Linked DNA regions of Alligator mississippiensis. The protein of the gene in region 2 purifies or fractionates together with the protein of the main gene of each other region. This does not show direct contact. Links are inferred from orthologs where the notes say so. Each region holds a gene or a part of one and is shown on either strand. Other genes may lie near its edges.

The links. Proteins that work in one complex are often made in the same cells at the same time.
Region 1: the proteins of PSMB2 (region 2) and FBXO7 purify together in Homo sapiens (affinity purification with mass spectrometry; 3 studies listed by BioGRID and IntAct, counting the BioPlex papers as one, with this or other methods). This does not show direct contact. The link is inferred for Alligator mississippiensis from reciprocal best matches to the Homo sapiens genes PSMB2 and FBXO7.

The regions. Positions count from the first base shown.
Region 1 is NC_081827.1:103,412,012-103,415,757, reverse strand, and holds the start of FBXO7 (F-box only protein 7), read left to right. Parts: upstream 1-1,345; 5' UTR 1,346-1,348; coding exon 1,349-1,470; intron 1,471-3,292; coding exon 3,293-3,599; intron 3,600-3,746. UniProt on the Homo sapiens protein: Substrate recognition component of a SCF (SKP1-CUL1-F-box protein) E3 ubiquitin-protein ligase complex which mediates the ubiquitination and subsequent proteasomal degradation of target proteins and plays a role in several biological processes such as cell cycle, cell proliferation, or maintenance of chromosome stability.
Region 2 is NC_081829.1:8,712,251-8,715,996, reverse strand, and holds the start of PSMB2 (proteasome subunit beta type-2), read left to right. Parts: upstream 1-1,099; 5' UTR 1,100-1,194; coding exon 1,195-1,285; intron 1,286-3,746. UniProt on the Homo sapiens protein: Non-catalytic component of the 20S core proteasome complex involved in the proteolytic degradation of most intracellular proteins. This complex plays numerous essential roles within the cell by associating with different regulatory particles.

The DNA of each region.
Region 1 (3,746 bases), on a different chromosome or scaffold from region 2:
GGACTCCACAACCATCTGGAGGAGGAGGAGGACTTCACATCTTGTGAAGATCTCTAAGCGCTGCGGAGCCTATCAGACCCAGCGTGTATCTTAAGAAGGCTACAGGGGTCTGATCAACCTCTTGCCTCTCCCCGTCGCCGCCTGATCCCTCGACGTACCCTTCCTTGTGCGCAAGTTCCACGGAGCCTAGCAAACTTCGTGTGAGTGTATTCAGAGCTCTTTGCTTCGAGTTACTTTCTTCGGTTGACACGACGGGCTTGCGGTTTAGAGCTTTCTACCGGATTGGGCTAGAAGGTTCACGGGAAGGAACTCTAGTCCGCCTCTCTTCTTTTCTGTCTGTAACTGCAACTCAAGCAAGTTTTCCTGCCTGCACTGCGACCATCTTTGGTGTAAGTAAAATAATCTTAAATCAACCACTAAGCGTCCGTGCCTAATTCTAGCGTGCCGCCTGCCTTCCCCGACCCGGCGTGTCCGGGCTGCTGGCCACAGCCCGCCACGCGAAAAAAAAACAAACCCTGAGGGCCTCGGACCGCTCCCGGCCTGCACACACAGGTGGTGCAAATGCCTACCCTGGAAATCTTCAAGAGGAGACTGGACTGTCACTTTGCTGGGGTCACCTGACCCCAGTTGCCTTTCATGCTTGATGCAGGGGGCTGGACCCAGAAACTTGCCACAGGTCCTTCTGGTGTGGCAGCTCAAGGCACCATACCTGGCTGCTGCATGTCAGGGGTCACCCTATGCTTTTACAAACAGGTCAAGTAAGGGCTCTGCATGGGTTGCCGTAGACAGGGAACATCCTCCCTCAGAAGTTGCGCTATATGTCCTCTATGCCTTCCCACTCCGCCTCCTGCGGGGCGGCCTCCAACGGTTTTAACGGCCACGCCTAGCGCCCCTTTGTGGGGTGGGGCCAGGGCCGGACCTCGCTGCCTCCTCCCACAATTACCCAGAGAGAACGCGGATCTGCGTCACGCCCCTCCCCCACACCCACCCCTCTGCTTGGATTCGAGCCTGTGACGCATGCTACCCGAGTACCCGATCATCGACGTGCGCCTGCGCACTTCAGCCCTGCTCACCACCTGCGTTCGTGCGCGCTCGCAGGACGCAGGTCCTGTGAGGATCGCCCAATCATCGATCCCCAACGTCACCTGTGGGGCAGGGAGCAGGGTGCGCGCCCCATGACCTAGGGGCGAGGCCGGGGCGGGGCTCCCATGGAGTGAGGAAGTGGCGTCACCAACCCAAATAACAACACCCCCCAGCAGCAGCAGCAGCAGCAGCAGCAGCTGCTGCCGCGTCGGCGCCGCCAGGTTGGATCCTTAGGCAGGAGCGAAAAGGCGTCGCTGCCGCCGCCATGAAGCTCCGCGCCCGGCTGCAGAAGCAGACGGCTCCGCTCGAGGTGGGGGGGGCGGAGCCAACACTGGGGGAGCTGCGCGCGCACCTGTGCCAGGCCGTGCTGCCCGCGTGGGGGTACAGGTACGGACCCAACCACTGGGGGAGGGGCGTGGCGCTCGTTCTGTACCATGTCCCTAGCCCCTCGGCGGACTGCGGCGCCGGCAGTCCGCTGGACAGCCCTCCCCGCAGGCTGCGGGGACGCCCGAGAGCAGCGCTGGGGCTGAGGGGATGGGTCACGTGACCCGGCCGCGCGATGGCTTCTTACCACGCCCTCTGGCGAAGGCGAGGCTGCTGGGGGTGCTGGCACCTGGCTGCGTGACTTGGGGCTGTGGGCGGGGCCTGGCTCTGGGGGCCACCTGAGGTGGGTGGAGCTGTGGCCTCCACTGGCGCCCCCGGCGGGTCCCTTGGGCCTTGGCCCCCACGCTGCCACCACCCTTGTCGCAGCAGGGGTTTGTGGCTGTCTCTGTCCCCAGAGTTGCCCTCATGGGCTCGGAGAGGCTCAGTCCCCTGCTTCTCCACCAGTTGATCTCCCCCACCCTGGGTGCTGCCTGGAGAGCCTTTCAGGGGTACTGGAGTGATGGTGTAGCTGTGATGGTCAAGGAAATACTCAAAAGGCAAGGGTTTTTCTGGGGGCAGTGGGTCATGTCTCTTGTTGGACCTACTGCAAGGTTGGGTGAGATTTTGTCACAAGTTTTCTTGTGCCTGAAAGCTTGTCTAAATGTTTTCCCAGTCATGCACTGGAACCAGTATAAAATATCACCCACCCCCATCCCCCAAATCCTTGGCTCAATTGCTTTTTGCGCATTCATGTAATACATTTTATCTTGACACATTCATCTCTAAACTTTCCTGCAGAGAAATTTGTTGAAAAGTAGTCACAGCAATGAACTCTTGCTCCTCTGCTGCAAACCCATTCAGTCTGCCACACTGAAGTAAAGTGTTTCACAGCCAGCATGCATGTACACTACCAGCCCACTGGACCCTAATTGCAGTATGGTATTTAGAGACTCCTATAGGACTCACCAAAGAAGGGAACTTTTTCTATTAAGTGATGGCCTGGTTTTCTCCGATTTGAAAAAAAAAAAAAAAAGACAGTTTTCAGATTTAAAAAAGTATCCCAAAATCCACATTTCTCTGTGATCAAAATGCACATGTGTACATACACACACGCACACACACATTTCATCATATGTGCACAAGTGATGTACATCTGTGATCATATAGTGGTGTTTCATTTTGATCATGGAAAATGGATATGGGGTTACTTTTTTAACTGAAAACTCGGGATTTTTTTTTTTTTTATCAGAGAAAACTAGGATCTGCTGATGGCTTTTTGTGCCATCAGAACATAATCATGCACTGAAACAGCTTTGCCCACAGGTCGCCTTTGTAATTGAAGGTAGGAGGTCGCATGTGGCTTCTTGAAACAAATGCATTGATTTAATTGGAAAGCGAGGTGGCTTAGACTGTTAGGCCGTTGTTTTAAAAGTTAGCTGGCCACAAAGGGAAGATTTCTGCCCTGATTTGCCCAAGATGATAGGTTACTTTAGGAGGGCTTCCAGATGCATTTGTTTTGTAAAGGCACATTGCAGACTAAAGCAGTTTTTGGAAAGCAGGCATGCTTATACCTACTCCTAAGTACTCAGACTTTGTAAGTTTCTGTGCATTAGGTAAAATTATCATAAAGAGAAAAACAGAGGGACTTATGTTAGTCTCTGTCAAAGATTTATATTATGGTCATTTATTTTTCCAGCAATTCCTTTAGCATGGGGCTGATTGAGACTGGGTTTCAGGCTTAACAAAGCAGTTTAATACTACTACTACTATATTTTGTGTAGTTGGAATGAATAATTTAAAGGGATGCTAGTGCACATGTCCGAGCAGTTTATTTCTGTCTTTGCAGTTCTGATACCCAGTTTGCAATAACATTGAACAACAAAGATGCCCTTACTGAAGACCAGGAGACCCTGGCTTCATATGGAATTGTTTCAGGGGATTTGATATGTTTGTTACTGGAAGAGACCAATGCAGCACACAGCCTATCTCCACACTCGTCTTCACCTCCTCCCCAGCTCCAGAATAATCATGAACTGTCCACCTTGAACATCAGCCAAGGTCAGATCAGCAGTTCAGAAGAAAGCAGGCAGAATGGACCATCTGAAGACCATAAAGCTCCAAGCGAAGATGAGAAGAATGATGATATTGATATGGTAAGGACTGCGGTGCACAGATGATGATATGCCATGTTTATAATGTTGATTGCTAGACCACTTAGCTGTGCATAAGCCTGAAGCATTGTGATTCTCGCTGCTTGCTTGGTGTATGATCAATGACTCATTAGCCTGGTGCTTTGTCCC
Region 2 (3,746 bases):
CTGAGCATGATGTAGCATTAACTAGAAAATGGCTTCTCAGATCCTAGTCTTTTTTGTTTGTCCCGGGGGGTGGCAGGGGCGGAGGGAAATCTTTACAATGAGATGGGCCCAGGATCGCCAAATAAAGAAGGAACCTCAGCCTGTGCTTTTGTACCTTTAGAGGACGACTGCACTTCAGCACGGCACAGGTTATCAGAGACCAATATTTGAAGGTGGCACAAGGAGATCGCAGCACCTGCACGCCCAAGTGGAAATTGGTATTATGTCTGTGTAGAGTCCTCAATACAGGACTGAGATATAGGCTGAGCACATGAAGCAGCCTTTTTTTTTTTAGGTTGCTATTGCCACATGTCTCTTCCCGGCCTACCCAACGTAACCCTAGACACGGCAGGAACGGTGCCCACGTTAGCTCACGTTCTTCTTCCGATGTGCCACCACGAGGGCACCTGGACACGTGCTCGCCCGTAGCCTGCTCGGCGCACACGTGCCGACGGTAGGGTTGCCGGCTCCGAATCTGTTCCAGGAGGTTTCATCCCACGATGGAACAACCCCAGCCCCCCCGGAGTCCACCGGGATCGGCATCTCGGTGACTATTGAAAGCAACACGGGGATTTTAATCGGCTATTTTACGAAAAATCAGTGAATAGGACAAATGCACGGGATTCATGTATGGACGTGCGTAAAACATAACGGCGTCGTCTGATCGCGTGTCTCTTTCCCTTGGCAGCCTAATGACATCGTACGTCATGTACAGTGCAATGAGTGATGTCATATTGCGGAGGGGGGGCAAAAAATCTCCTGGAATAGCTTCAGATTTGACAACTCTATGGGCAAGGGAGAGATGTCCCCATGGGCTAACTCAGCACCAGGCGAGGGCTGCACCCCGCGGCGGGTTGCGACACCCCTGGGCCGGGTAAGGGCGGGGAAGGCGGGAAAACCCTGGAAGCAAATGGCAGCGCGGCGAGGACGGGGTTAAGGGGCCGGGCGGAGCCCCGGGGCGCGGCTAGCAGTCACGTGACCCCGGTCTAGGCCAGGCACTGAGTGCTCTCTCGCGAGAACTCGGCGCTGACGTCATCTCCGTGCGCCGGGCGTGCGTGCGCCTTCGCTGTGTCACGTCGCGTCGTGGAGGGGGCGGAAGCGGCTGCCGGGTCGGACCGGAGCTGAGATAGAGCGAGCGCCCCCCTCCCCCCCGCCATGGAATACCTCATCGGCATCCAGGGCCATGACTACGTGCTCGTCGCCTCCGACACCGTGGCGGCCTCCAGCATCGTGCAGATGAAGCACGGTGAGAGCCGGGAGGGGGATGGGGACCTCCCCCCCTCCCTGCAGCCCTTCCTCTGGTACATGGGGACTTCCCCCCCCCCGTCCCTGCAGCCCCCCCCCCCCCCGTGAATGGGGATCCCTTCCTCCTTCCTTACTTTTAACTGCAGGGAAACTCTGGAGCGACTCCTGTGCTGCAGAGAGGTCGGGCAGCAGGCACATGACCCGGGGTTCACAGCCCTGTGGGTTCCCACTGCAAATCTCTGTCTCCTGGTTGCCCACCTACGAGCACTCTCCTTGCGTGGCCCCGTCGCAAGGATCTCGAGGCAACCATGGAGAACGCTGGCTTAGCGGCTCCCGTTGGGCCTTCCCCTCTAGCCCTACTGATGACAGAGACGTTGTGCGAGGGCATCCAAGCCCAGCCCCTGCTCAAAGCAACAGTGTTTCTGACTAAGGCATCCCAGCCCAGGGTCTCTCTCACCTGCGTTTAAAAGTTTCTGAGCACGGGGAATCCACAACTTCTTGAGGAAACCTGTTCCTGTGCCTGGCCTCACCTCCCTCGTGCTCAGAAACGTCCTCCTCATCTCCAGCCTAAACTTCCCCTGCTGCAGCTTGAGTCTTTTGCATCTCAACTTGTCACTTTTATAACCACAGAGAAAAGCCCATCTCCCATATTTTCTCTAATTATTACCCTTAAGATATTTGAAGACAGTTATCAAATTCCCTTTTGGGCTTCTCGTTCCCAGGCTAAACAACCCTAGTTCTTTCAGCCTTTCCTTTGTCTCCCAGGCCCCTGATCATTTTTGTGGCCCTGGATTCTTTCTAAACTGTCCATGTACTGCTTGAAGTTGGGGCCTGAAATGCTGTATGTTGCATTGGCTAAATGTAGGATCGGAGTCAGTTGGAGCAGGCCAGCAAGATAAGGAGCCAGGGATTATTTGACTAGACCAGCAGTAAGGACAGCACAGAACAGCACGCTCTGGACCTCTTTCTGGATGTTGTTCTGTTATAAGCACTGGATGACAGGGCAATGACTTCCAAAGAGCTCCTCCCACCCAATGAGAGACAGCGTCAGGGAGAACTTGAGGGATGTTAATTGAAACAAATGCATGCATGTCTTGGAGCTTTTGGTTGTTGGGAACCCAGTTCGCACCATCATTTCTTAGTTTCTTCAAGTAGAAAAAACAGCCGTAACTGCTCACCTGAAATACCGTAGTGAGAATAAAAAGCAGTTACTATGTATGTTCTTTAGCGTGAGAGTATGCAAGTTCAAAGTTGAAACGGTACTGGAGAGCTGTTTGCTGATGTACTATATTTATGTAATGCTTACCAGGTCTTTCACTGTAAAGTGTCGTTTTATTTAAATGAGGGGGAAAAACCCTTTTCCAACAGATTTACGCAAACCAGTATAACTTTTTGTTCAAAATGATACAGTGTGCTAAACCTTCTGGACAATAAAGATCATATAAATAAATGATGGCTAAGGTTTTAACTTTTTATTTGTGTTACTTTAATTAACCTACTTTTTATAGTTTTAACTAGTAGGCCTGGATTTGGAAACAAGAGCCTCATCTGGATACAGTACTGTCAGTCTGAATAATGGTTCAGGCGAACCCATGTTTTTTAGGTTCCCTGGTCTAGACTTTGAGTGGGGAAAGGGTTGATCTTTCATATACTTACAGACAGTCAGTTGAAGTGTTTACGGGGGCATAGTTCTTAGAACTAATATAGCTATGTCAAACGAATGCAGTCAACTAACTACGTAAACATATAATTCTTATTTCTCTTAAGAGCTGTACTTTAATTAGAGCAGTACTGTTAGCTCTAGGTGTTCTAAATATTATTTCAGACCCTTCAAAAATCATTTAAGCCTTTTCAAAAAGGTTTCTAATTTACATTTGGGTTTTTGAGCCTTTACAACTTACTCAGTTAACACTTCAAGCTCTTTTTCCCTTGCAACCCAGTCTACTAGGAACTTCCTTTTAAAAAGGGAATGGGGAGGAGGCTATGAACCTGCAATTTCATAAGCTTGGCAGCTGAGGCTTTAAGAAAAATAGCAAGCATGCACCAAATATTAGGAAATGTTTTGCAGAATTGCAGACTGGCAACACTGGCAGCTCCTTCTGAACATGTGTTGTGATAGCCTTTTTATAGGGAGTATACAGTATTGAGGGTTCGGTAATGTTTTCTTCAAATTGCAAGAAAATCAATCTGCACAACGGTTCCTAAATTCTCACGCAGGCAACTTTTAAAGTATTTAACAACTGCATAATACTCTCCAAATCCTATTAAAGGATTGCGATATTTCAGAAGCTTTCTAACATGTCTTCCAGGGGAGATTATGCAGCACTATATAGTAAATTGAAAGTGAAAGTGAGATTCAGATATGGAGATTTAGACTTGTGCTGCAGACCTAACCTGAAAATGGAGAAACTGTTTTCCCTAGGCATCAGAAGCTGCTTGAGTTTTTATTTATCTGTCTTATC